Linked DNA regions of Saccharomyces cerevisiae S288C. The gene in region 2 interacts genetically with the main gene of each other region. Each region holds a gene or a part of one and is shown on either strand. Other genes may lie near its edges.

Region 1 (7,755 bases), on a different chromosome or scaffold from region 2:
GAATGTCTCTTTGGACACGGTAGATTCTTGTCCATGGGGGCACTAGGGCCAAGATTCTAGCAACTAAGTCCACTAAGGCGTTGGCACTATAAGACTTATACCTGCCCGTTTTCCAAAGTTCGTATAAACCTGTACCCCTAATGACTAAAGTTGGATAGATTTTCAACCCATCAGTCCTAAAATCAGGATTTTCAAAATACTCTTTGAACTGTTCAATATCTCTTTCCATCCCAACATTTGGTAAATCTGGCATCATGTGAGAAACAACCTTATAACCAGCATCTTTAGACACAGCAAAAGTTTCACAAACAGACCTAACGGTGTGTCCTCTATTAGTATCACGAGCAACGTCTTCGTACAAGGACTGAACACCAATTTCTAATCTGGTACAGCCATATTTTAACATATCGTCCAAATGTGTTTGCGTACAATAATCAGGCCTAGTTTCGATTGTTATACCAACACACTTCGTTAAACTTTGTTGCGAATAAAGAATAGCTTCATCAATATCATTACCATTGAACCCAGAAAGTGCATTATGCAATTTCACAATAAAATCTTCACGATATTCTTTTGGTAATGACATAAATGTACCACCCATCAGAACATATTCGACTTTATCGATGGAGTGACCTAACTGTTTCAATTGTTCCACCCTACCACGTGCTTGTTCATAAGGGTCATAACGAGCTCTGATGGCACGCATTGAAGTTGGTTCATAGCCTGTGTAAGATTGTGTAGAATACTCAAAATCTGAATCTGGACCACCTGGACAATAAACACAAATATTACCTGTATATGCAATGTGAGGACAACGATGTGGTTTACACATAACGGCTACCACTGCAATACCCGATGCTGTTCTTACTGGCTTAGCCTTCAATTTGGGTAATAAATATTTTTTGTATTGGTCTGGAATAGAATTAATGATATCGGTTAACCTTGGTTGTTGCTTTAGTTTATATTTCTTTGAATATTTAGTAATCAAACCATTCAGATTAATTTCTCTTGTTGTTCCCGAGGTTAAAGAATCTGTTAACTCTAATGTGATATCAGCACAACATTGTATAAACCTTTCCTTTTCAGGTGCTAGCTTTTTTTTGTTAGTTTTTGGGCCTTTTCCATGACGAGCCATCTTTGTCAGGGTGTTCTTCGATTTTCCTTAGGTGCTTTTAGGACTTGTTTATTTCAAAACTTTGCACTGGATAATTTGAGATGAGCTAACTAAATTTCAAAATTTTTTGACCATTTTTTTTTTTTCATGAGGAAGAGCCAGTGACAGTAAATAATAAAAGGTGAAATGATTAAACAATGAAAGCGGCAGAAAAATAAAATCAAACAGTGGCAGTATTGACTTTTGAAAATCAGAAGTTCATCCTAAGTTAAGACTTTCTTCTTTTAAGTGCTTTCTCCTTCTCTCACTGTCTTATCGCTGTATATCTCATTGTTGAATAATATAACACAACGTTATAAGTGATCATCACTTTCTGATCCATAATTTCAAACCTCAAGCGACCGTACATGTGGCATTTTCCACTATAAACTTACGAGCAAGAGAAAGATATACGGAAAAGGTTAATTGGCAGGTTACACAAGATTTTGGTCATTGAATATTTGCAGCCCTCCTGCTTGAGAAACTGGACAACAACTGTTATCAATATTCCCTTTTCAAAATAGTGGTATTTAACTGGCCATAACCAAGGAAACCGTTGTACCTATTATTTTGTATAGTCTTCATTTAATAACGTGTTAAGAATGACACCTGAAGCCAAGAAAAGGAAAAACCAAAAGAAGAAGTTGAAGCAAAAGCAAAAAAAAGCTGCTGAGAAAGCTGCTAGCCACAGTGAAGAACCACTTGAATTACCAGAAAGTACGATTAACAGCAGCTTCAACGACGACTCGGTGAACCGTACAGAATCTGACATAGCTTCAAAATCTGATGTTCCTCCGGTCTCATCATCTACCAATATCTCTCCGGCTAATGAAACACAACTAGAAATACCTGATACTCAAGAATTGCATCATAAACTGCTCAACGACTCTGATCAACATGATATTACCGCGGACTCAAATGATTTGCCAGACAACTCAATCGTTGAACATGACTCTGTTATTACCCAAACAAAACCAGCCATGTCTCAAGAATACGAAGAGACTGCCGCTCACTTATCTTCGAGAAATCCATCGCTCGATGTAGTCGCGGGAGAACTTCACAATAATAATGAACATACCCAGAAAATTGCCGTATCCGCTGTGGAAGAGGATTCTTTCAATGAAGAAGAGGGTGAAAATCACGACAGCATAATAATTTCATCATTAAACGATGCTACCCCTTCTCAATATAATCATTTTCTCCCATCCGATGGCAATCTTCTTTCTCCAGAATTATCTTCTGGTGATACGCCAACTCACAATGTTCCTCTAGGCACAAAAGACAATGAAATAAATGACGATGAGTATTGTAATGATAAGGAAATTAGTTTGAACGCAAATAATGTGCTTCCTGATGAACTTTCAAAGGAAGAAGATGAAAGATTAAAACTAGAAACGCATGTATCAACCGAAGAAAAGAAACAGGATATCGCTGATCAGGAAACTGCAGAAAACTTATTTACGTCTAGTACAGAACCATCTGAGAATAAAATAAGAAATTCTGGTGATGATACCTCCATGTTGTTTCAAGATGACGAAAGTGATCAGAAGGTTCCATGGGAGGAAGATGTGAAGAAAGATTTTCATAATGAGAACACAAATAATACTCAAGAATCGGCACCGAACACAGATGATCGTGATAAGGGTTATGAAGGAAACGAAGCTTTGAAAAAGTCCGAAAGTTGTACAGCCGCGGACGAGAGGTCGTACTCTGAAGAAACTTCAGAAGATATCTTTCACGGACACGACAAACAGGTAGTTGAAGGCCAAAATGATTTCACTGGGAAAAATATTGAGAATGAAAGCCAGAAATTAATGGGGGAAGGGAATCATAAGTTACCGTTGTCTGCCGAAGCTGACATTATAGAACCTGGTAAGGATATTCAAGATCAAGCCGAGGATTTGTTTACGCAGAGCAGCGGAGACTTGGGAGAAGTTTTGCCATGGGAATCTACTGATAAAAACGCTGATGTAACGAGCAAATCCCAAGAGAAACATGAAGATTTATTTGCTGCTTCTGGAAACGATGAGAAACTTCCTTGGGAAGTTTCTGACGGTGAAGTATCATCGGGAAAGACGGAAAACAGCATGCAGACTAGTACTGAGAAAATAGCTGAGCAAAAGTTTTCGTTTTTGGAAAACGACGACGACCTTTTGGACGACGACGACAGCTTTTTGGCTTCTTCTGAGGAAGAAGACACAGTACCTAATACCGATAATACAACGAATTTAACCTCAAAACCAGTTGAAGAAAAAAAGGCTTCAAGATATAAACCTATTATCGAGGAGGAAGCAGGAATGCGTCAAGAGCAAGTTCATTTTACCAATACTACTGGCATTGTAACACCGCAGCAGTTCCACGGTTTGACTAAAACTGGACTAGGCACCCCCAACCAACAAGTCAGTGTACCAAATATAGTTAGTCCTAAGCCTCCTGTGGTAAAAGACAATCGTTCAAATTTTAAGATAAATGAGGAGAAAAAGAAGTCTGATGCTTACGATTTTCCACTGGAAATTATTTCAGAAAGTTCCAAGAAGGGTCACGCAAAGCCGGTTGCCGTTCCTACTCAAAGGTTTGGCTCAGGGAATTCTTTTAGTTCTTTGGACAAACCAATTCCACAGAGCAGGAAAGGCTCTAATAACTCAAATAGGCCACCCGTGATCCCATTGGGGACGCAGGAGCCTCGATCTTCGAGAACTAACTCAGCGATCTCGCAATCTCCCGTTAATTATGCTTTCCCTAACCCATACAAAATTCAACAACTACAACAGGCTCCTATCCAATCAGGTATGCCTTTACCAAATACCAACATACCTCCCCCAGCATTAAAAGTGGAAACCACCGTTTCTGCTCCTCCAATTCGGGCAAGAGGGGTCAGCAATGCCTCCGTGGGAAGTTCAGCGTCTTTTGGTGCTAGACATGCAACACAGTACGGCCTCAATAACGGGGTACCTCCGGTTTCGCCATATGGTCAAGCTACCATAAATTTGCCAACTGCGAATAAGTATGCCCCCGTCTCTCCTACAGTTCAGCAGAAGCAATATCCATCAGTTGTGCAAAACCTTGGCGCTTCGGCCGTAAATACCCCCAATTTTGTAAAGACCCATAGAGGCCATACAAGCTCTATTAGTTCGTATACACCAAACCAGAATGAACACGCCTCTAGATACGCACCCAACTATCAACAATCTTATCAGGTGCCATATACCTCACAACCTGTTGGTCCTGTAGCTGGGAATTCAAGCTATCAAAGCCAAACCCGAAGTTCTTATGCAGTTCCTATGATGCCCCAGGCTCAAACTTCAGCAAGTATTCAGCCTCACGCGAACATTCAACCGCCTACTGGCATTTTACCTTTAGCCCCCTTACGACCTCTAGACCCCTTACAAGCCGCTACGAACTTGCAACCCCGTGCAAGCAACATAACGGCTGCAAATTCACTACCTCTTGCAAATTTGCCACTTGCTGAAAACATACTGCCAGAAATTATCACGCATCGAGCTACAAGTAGTGTTGCACCACCACGACAGGAAAATAATCCAATTAAAATAGACAACGAGGCTTTATTACGCCGTCAATTTCCGATTTTTCATTGGAGTGCTGCAAACAAGGTCGTGTACGCAGTCCCCCCTATCCCTGACCAATCGCAGTACATGATTTCATCAAGCATTGTACAGGAAATAAAAGTGACACCAATTGACCAGATAATTAAACCGAACGATATGCTCAAAAGCTTCCCAGGTCCTTTGGGTAGTGCCAAATTAAAAAAAAAGGATTTAACCAAATGGATGGAAACCACTATTAAATCCATATCTGAAAATGAATCATCCACTGATATGACTATATGGCAACTATTGGAAATGAAACTAAACGATAAAGTTAACTGGAAAAATATTTCAAAACTACTATACAATTCTGACGAACTTTTAATGTACCTATCTCAGCCCTTTCCAAACGGTGACATGATTCCAAATGCATATAGACTGGATATAAATTGTCAGATGAGAGTCCTGGCGTTCTTACAAACGGGAAATCACGATGAGGCACTTCGCTTAGCTTTAAGCAAGAGGGATTATGCCATTGCACTATTGGTTGGCAGTTTAATGGGTAAAGACAGATGGTCTGAAGTCATTCAGAAATATTTATATGAAGGGTTTACTGCGGGGCCAAACGACCAAAAAGAATTGGCACACTTTCTGCTCCTTATCTTTCAAGTATTTGTTGGTAACTCCAAAATGGCCATAAAAAGTTTCTACACTAATAATGAGACCAGTCAATGGGCATCCGAAAACTGGAAGAGTATCGTTGCAGCTGTTCTGATTAATATCCCAGAAAATAATGAAGATCCACTACTTATACCACCTGTTGTCCTTGAATTTTTGATAGAGTTCGGTATATTCCTCACCAAAAAGGGCTTGACAGCCGCAGCTAGTACATTATTTATTATTGGTAACGTACCACTTTCTAATGAGCCAGTAATGGCAGATTCAGACGTTATATTTGAAAGTATTGGAAACATGAATACTTTTGAAAGCATTCTATGGGATGAAATCTACGAGTATATATTCTCGTATGACCCTAAATTCAAAGGATTTTCATCTATTTTGCCCCAGAAGATATACCATGCATCTCTTTTACAAGAACAAGGTTTGAACAGCCTGGGGACAAAGTATACTGATTACCTCAGTTCCTCAGTTCGAAAACTGCCTAAGAAAGATATTTTAACAATAAACCTCACTCGTGAATTGAGTGAGGTGGCTAGTAGGCTTTCCGAGTCTAATACAGGATGGCTTGCAAAACCAAAACTAAGCAGCGTATGGGGTCAATTAGATAAATCCTTCAATAAATATATTGGTGGCGATGATATTGATGCATTGAATAAAAAAAATGATAAAAAGAAAGTTTTTGATGGGTTCACACCGGGATCTTCTGCCAATTCGTCAACTGTGGATCTCACCCAAACATTCACACCTTTCCAAGCTCAAGTTACTTCGCAAAGCTATGTGGATACTACAGCTCTTTTGCATAATGCCCATAATGTACCAAGCCATAGTGTGCTGCATTCAAAGCCTTCCAATGTGTCAAAGGGGTTAGTTGAAGCAAACTTACCGTATACGCATAGGATCGGTGATAGTTTGCAGGGATCTCCTCAGCGCATTCATAATACACAGTTCGCTGCTGCTGAGCCTCAAATGGCTTCTTTGAGAAGAGTTAGAACAGACCAGCATACAAACGAAAAGGCTTTGAAGAGTCAGCAGATTTTAGAGAAAAAGTCTACGGCCTACACTCCACAATTTGGACAGAACCATAGCGTTCCAATGGAAAAGTCTAATTCGAATGTGCCATCTTTATTTGCCGACTTCCCTGCTCCACCCAAACTTGGAACAGTGCCGTCTAATTATGTGTCTAGTCCTGACTTAGTAAGAAGGGAGTCTATCATATCTACCGGATCAGAATTTCTTCCTCCTCCCAAAATTGGGGTACCTACTAAAGCTAATTCCTCGCAGGGATCGCTTATGTACTCACCAAGTGTGGAAGCTTTGCCTATCGACCCTGTCGTCCCGCAAGTTCATGAGACGGGATACAATGATTTTGGTAACAAACATTCTCAAAAAAGTATGCCTGAAGATGAATCTCACACATCACATGATAATAGCAATGCTGATCAAAATACATTAAAAGACTCTGCAGATGTTACAGATGAAACAATGGATATTGAAGGACCTGGCTTCAACGATGTGAAGAATCTTCTTCCTATGGAGCCCAACCACCAGCCTACGTCTACAGTAAATCCTATACAAACTATTAGTGACGATATCCAACCGATTCTTCAAACTAACGTGGAGGTCCGGGGTACTGATGCATCGAAAATGGAAAATTCACTTCCCTCCATTGAAAATGAAAGAAGTAGCGAGGAGCAGCCAGAAAACATTTCAAAATCAGCATCATCAGCATATTTACCATCAACTGGTGGATTGTCACTCGAAAACAGACCGCTAACTCAGGATGAAAACAGTATCTCAGAGACAGTTCAATCCACATACTTGCCAGCAGGAAGTATTTCAATGGAAGCTAAACCAATTTCTCAAGTGCAAGATGTTCCAAGAAATGTTAATAATAAAGCATCCAAACTTGTGGAGCAACATATGGCACCACCAAAGCCAAAAAGTACTGACGCAACCAAAATGAACTACTCACCATACGTGCCTCAATCAACTGCCGCTAGTGCAGATGGCGATGAATCAACGATTCTGAAAACATCGCCTGCTATATATGCAAGAACTCACCAAGCACATGCATCCAATCCATCACAATACTTTCCTTTGGTCAACCAAGCAAATGAAACTGCTTCATTCGAATTATCTGAATCAACATCCCAGGCACAAAGTAATGGAAATGTTGCTTCAGAAAATAGATTCAGCCCAATAAAGAAAGCCGAAGTCGTCGAGAAAGACACTTTTCAACCTACTATTAGGAAGGCTTCAACTAACCAATACAGGGCTTTTAAACCGTTGGAATCAGATGCGGATAAATACAATGACGTTATTGAAGATGAATCCGATGACGACAATATGTCTACTGATGAGGCAAAGAACAGAAAG
Region 2 (5,371 bases):
GCAATTCTTTCCATGAACTTAGTATAAATTATAGAATATTAGTTTTCGTAGCTTGTAATGTATTTGAATTGGAACCATCTAATTGTTATCTGCCATTTTAGTATTTTGGACAAGCTCCAAATATGTGGTCCTAAGTTCATATCGAGGATACAGATTATTTGGGCCGTATCTTTGATGTCATGGAGAGTAGTGTGGCCTTCCAAGTCCTGGGGCAGCTATTAATTAGGGAATGTTTTGATCAACAACTTAGTGTTAATAGTAGACACAACGATGTGAACTGTTCAATACATCAGCAAACATTCTTAGTTTTTCTCATATTTTATGTTTACTTATGTTAACCTGCATTATTTCCATAAATAACAAAAGGCAAAAAAGTAACAAATGAAGTTATTAGGAAACAATAAAAAAACAATATCGAGAAAAAAACGACTGACTACATTTAAAGTAGAACGTCCAAGTAATAAATACATGTATATATTCAATAGAAGTAAATTTTAGGATGCTACAAAACGAATTCTTATCTATCTTTGTTTTCTAATCTTCCATCAGTAACTATTACCAATTAGACTATGTATATTTTCATTCTCATTTTCTAATCTGTTGATATCTTGCTCTAACCCCTTTATAGTCAATTCAAATTTATTGGCTTCGCGTATCCTGTACTCCTTTCTTCTAAATCTATCCTTTTCTCTTTTACTCAAAAATTGAGTACTGAACTTTTCTATCTCTTCTGCGTTCTGATCGACCTCCTTTTGTAACTTCTCGTTTCTCGCGTTCAATTTGTCCAGTTTAGAGCCTAGTTGAACTAATTCTTGATTGACCTTTTGGAACCTCCCTTCTGAGTTTTTCAGGTCTTTCGATAAGCTTTCTTCTAACTTACTGAACTCTAATTGATTTTTCAAGTGTAGATCTTTCTTTTTCAAGTATTCCTCTTCTAATTCAAGCTCTTTTTCAGTGAGAGTTTTCAATTGCATCTCTAACTTATTTACCGCAGTCTCACTTTGCTGTAGGGCAACCTTCAAATTTTCGACTTTTAAAGTGCTCTTTTCGTCATGTGTTGCGTTCTGTGAAATCCTGCCTTTAAAATAATCAATTTCTTGTCTCAAAAGACTTAACTTCTTGCTGAATTCCTTTTTTGTCTTTTTCAATTTTGTCCTTTCATCGGACAAATTTGCGTTTGTAGTTAGCACGGAATGCTTCAGAGTTAGCAACGGAGATAAGAATTTCCTATGGTAGTATGAAGGGAAGCTGAAATCAAGGTTTTCAAATTTTCCGGCAATCGCATTGTTATTCCCACAAGTCCTTACAATTAAATCAGAAACCAAATAATCATCTCGGTGATTTAGTCTGTTGATGAATTGAATATCATAAGAACAAGAAGGGACTAATCCGTTAACGACAACGTATTCTTCGCCTACATGCTCTAAAATTAAAGCGCAAGAAACTTCTGACCAGATAACACCGTTTACTAAAACAATGAGTTCGCCATCATGTAAATTTTCAATATGGAATGTAATAGAGTTTGTGCTAATATCAATAATGCAAACTTTGTAGTCATTATCATTTCTATTGAAAATATTTTCATTGGTGGAAACTAAATTTAAAAGATTGTAGTCATCAGATGTTGTCTTTGCAATCAGGGCCATAGTATTTGAAGGTTCGAAATTGTTAAACACGCTCTTCTTAAACTTTCCGGCATGGGTGAAACTAATTCTTGATGAAACTGAATGTGTATTAATCGTGTCCAAATCTTTGTCATGTTTTTCCTGATTACTGACGTATGAAGTATTCGAATTTGTTGGTGTTAGTGAATTTTCAGAGGTTTCTTGTAAGTATTTTTTTTCAAAATTCGTTGTTTTTAATGTAACTACCATAGACCAAAGAGGTGCAATCAAGTGTTGATTCTTTCTTCTGAATAGAAGACGGATAAAATTTTCCAAGTTTGATGTAACAGATATGTCTGAAGATAATTTGCTAGAAGAAAACATGTTCCCAAAATCAACATTCAGTTCAAACAGTTGGTTAGTATACTTGTCATTGGAAGGGGAAAAGAAATCAGAATCCTTTTTCGAATTTCCATTCGAGGAATCAGATAGAGAGATTTCATTTGACAAACTAGTGTTATCACCAGAAAAGTTGAACGTTGTAGGAGAGGTTGTTGTACTGGTAGTAGTAGTAACGGCTTGAGAATTGCTTCCTTCAGCAGAGATTACCGATGGCTGATATGACTTATATTCCTTGACCATAGAAGTGAAATAGGGAAAACTAGAAGTAGCATCAGTAGGATAAGAGGCGGCAGGGTTCAAAATATTACTGTGTGATGATAGGGGAACTGGCGAGTTATTTTGTTGGGATGGATGGATAGTTTGATTGCTGCTGCTAAGTCCACCTGGATCGTTCGGTATCATAGGACTTTGGTCCTCTAAAGTGTTCGAATCGGCAGAAACGGAAGAAGAAGAAGAAATTCTCATCTTTTGCAGACCTTGAACACGGGCTACATCTGGTTTAGTTGAATTGAAACCCTTTTTCAATGGCTTGTTTTCCGCTGTTTGTCTATGAGGGTGTAATAAACTTGAAGCAAATGAGAAAAAAAGGATGTGAAAGGATAGATAATAAATCATACTGTCTGAATGTTTGCCAAGCATCTTGAAAGGCATTGGCAAAAATAGAGAGAAAAGCTTTTTGAAAAACTGTGAATACTTGCGAAAAACCGTGAATAATTTAATTGATTGGCCGGTTCCTCGTAAAGACATATCAAATAACTGTATAATGTCAAAGAAGTGTGACACTCTTTGAAAAGTGTTAGTTGACACAGCATACAATACTGAGCATGAAGTTGCATAGCTTAAGCAATCGCTTGGATCATTGATCAAAAATGAGGCAATAATAGAAATTGCCAGATTTTTTATTGGCTTAACAAAATAATCGCCACCGTAAATCTTTAGTAACATTGCAAATAAAATTTCACAAATTAATACGGGGATCGGAATGACGAAGCTATTTTTTGAATTGCCAAAAAATCGTGAATTAGATTTTCGGTTTGAACTACCATTGGTCACTTTGGAAGTACTTATATCTATGTGCGCCACTTCACCGATATGGCGGGAAGGTTTTTTCGATAGGAAAAGTATAATAAAACAATTTGCCAGAAAATCTTTGCATTTGGTAGCAACAATAAAGGAAACCAATAAACATAGGGAAGTGAAGTGGTTAAAACTCAAAAAAACCAGGAACAATGCAAGCGTATCTTTAAACCTATGTTTTTTGGCAAATTCGGTGGGCTGTTCACTCCTTTTAGTGTTCATTAATGACTGTAGATGTGATACTTTCTTCTGATTAGTAAATTGTTCCTCCATGAAAATTGTGCATGGATCCTTTTATGTAACGGAGATAGGTGGAATCTTAAAAAATATTGGGGTGTATATGAATAAAAGTTATTCAGAGTGATTACCTAAAGAGATGGTACGAAAAATGTGGAGATAGAAAACAAAAAACTTTGGTAAGATATTATTATAACAGAAAGAATTTAAAGTTTTCTCTGCTGGTACTCTGTATAATCCTCTTAGTCCTAATAAAATTTGTTTATTCCTCTTTTAATAGAAACTAACGAGTTGTGAAAACCTAGTTATGTTACTTGTTATATTACACCTTCAAGAGGTTTAGGAATTCAACGTTATAAACACACAACTGCATAAGTTAGGCTACTTTTTTTTTTCAGATTGTCCGTATAATGCGATAATCGTTGAGTTCATGCCGATCTAAGTACCGAATTAGAAAAAAATGTGTCAAAAGTAGGCAGCCAATCTGTTTTGCTGCCATATTTTTCCTAACAGGATTTGCTATGTATGAAGTACGATAAGTATGAAATATTAGTGCTTGTACATACGACCAATTTGTAATAACTAGTGATGTAGAGAATAAACTTAAAGAAAACTTATGAATAAATAATTATGGAGATATAATTACGAATAATTATGAATAAATAGTGCTGCCTTAATTGGCACTTGCAATGGACCAAGTCTTGGCATAACCTTCAAGGTCAACAGGTTCCCAAGGAACTCCCAAGCATTCTGCAATGACTTTACCCAAATCTTCGTTTAGCAAACCAAAGTATTGCGTAACTCTCTTTTTGACTTTAGGATCTTTGATCTTACAAGCGTGGCAAACAACGTTATGAACGAATAATTTCTTCTGTTCATCGTTGTATACCTTTTCATATAGAGCTCTTGGCTGTTCGAAGTCTAGTGGACTAATACCATAAACGTAGTAATATTGATTAATTTTGGCATCAACAATATGCTCGTTTCTGATTTGGTCTTGTTCCTGTTTTCTCACAGAAACTTCTGTTACTTCGTCAAGAACTATCCCTTTGAACTTATCAGATACTTCGTCGTTGTCTTCATTTTTGAATTTCAGAGTTTGATTTGGTAAACTGGAAATATAATTTGGCTCAGGACCGAAATTGTAGTAACTCATTGGGCCGTCCCTTTGGAAGTTCACTGCTTTAAATGGACACTGTTCGGCAGTGTATTGGGAATCACCTTTGGAGTATGGACATCCCAAGTTTCTTGGTCTGTTGACGGGCAATTGCTGATAGTTGGCTCCCAATCTATGACGTTGAGTGTCTGGATAGGAGAAAAGTCTGGCTTGTAGAACGGAATCATTAGAAGGCTTAATACCTGGGATACAAGTGTTCGTTGGACTGAATGCAACTTGTTCAATTTCTTGGAAATAATTGTCAACATTCTCCGTTAGGGTGATGGTACCAAATTTTCTCAAAGGGAATTCCTTGTGTGGCCATATTTTCGTTAGGTCATTTACCGAATACCTGAACTTAGTTGCTTGTTCGGGTGTCATTGTTTGCACATAACAGTTAAATTTTGGCTTTTCGCCATTTTGCAATTGAGTGAACAGCTTTGCCTGATTATAATCAGGGTGGGAGCCTGACAGTTCAGCAGCCTTATCTCCAGTCAAGGTTTCAAAACCAGTATCCGACAAGACGTGGAATTGCACATATGTGTCCTTACCTTCTTTGTTGACCATGATGAAGGAATGACCAGAGTACGCGTTCATACTAGCCCACGAAGCAGGAGTACCTCTATCACCAAACATGTAAGTTATTTGATGGATTGATTCCGGATTCAATGTTAGATAATCCCAGTATATGGTAGTGTCCTGAAACTGATTCAGATGAGACTGAGGGTCTCTCTTTTGCGAATGAATAAATACGGGAAACTTAATAGCGTCTCTGAGGAAGAAGACGGGAGTATTGTTGAAGACCCAGTCATGGTTCCCCCACTCGGTATAGAATTTAAAAGAAACACCTCTTGGGTCTCTTGCAGTGTCTGGTGTACCACTTTCACCACCAACG

Evidence for each region. Genes that interact genetically often act in the same process or in processes that back each other up.
Region 1: mutations in NNF2 (region 2) and SEC16 together harm fitness more than expected from each alone (negative genetic interaction), as found in Saccharomyces cerevisiae (2 studies listed by BioGRID).

The regions. Positions count from the first base shown.
Region 1 is NC_001148.4:385,312-393,066, forward strand, and holds the start of SEC16 (COPII coat assembly protein SEC16), read left to right. Parts: upstream 1-1,755; coding exon 1,756-7,755. Other genes in the region: Elongator subunit ELP3, read right to left, coding at 1-1,135. UniProt on the Saccharomyces cerevisiae protein: Involved in the initiation of assembly of the COPII coat required for the formation of transport vesicles from the endoplasmic reticulum (ER) and the selection of cargo molecules. Also involved in autophagy.
Region 2 is NC_001139.9:654,945-660,315, reverse strand, and holds NNF2 (Nnf2p), read right to left. Parts: upstream 3,357-5,371; coding exon 546-3,356; downstream 1-545. Other genes in the region: CTT1 (catalase T), read right to left, coding at 3,994-5,371.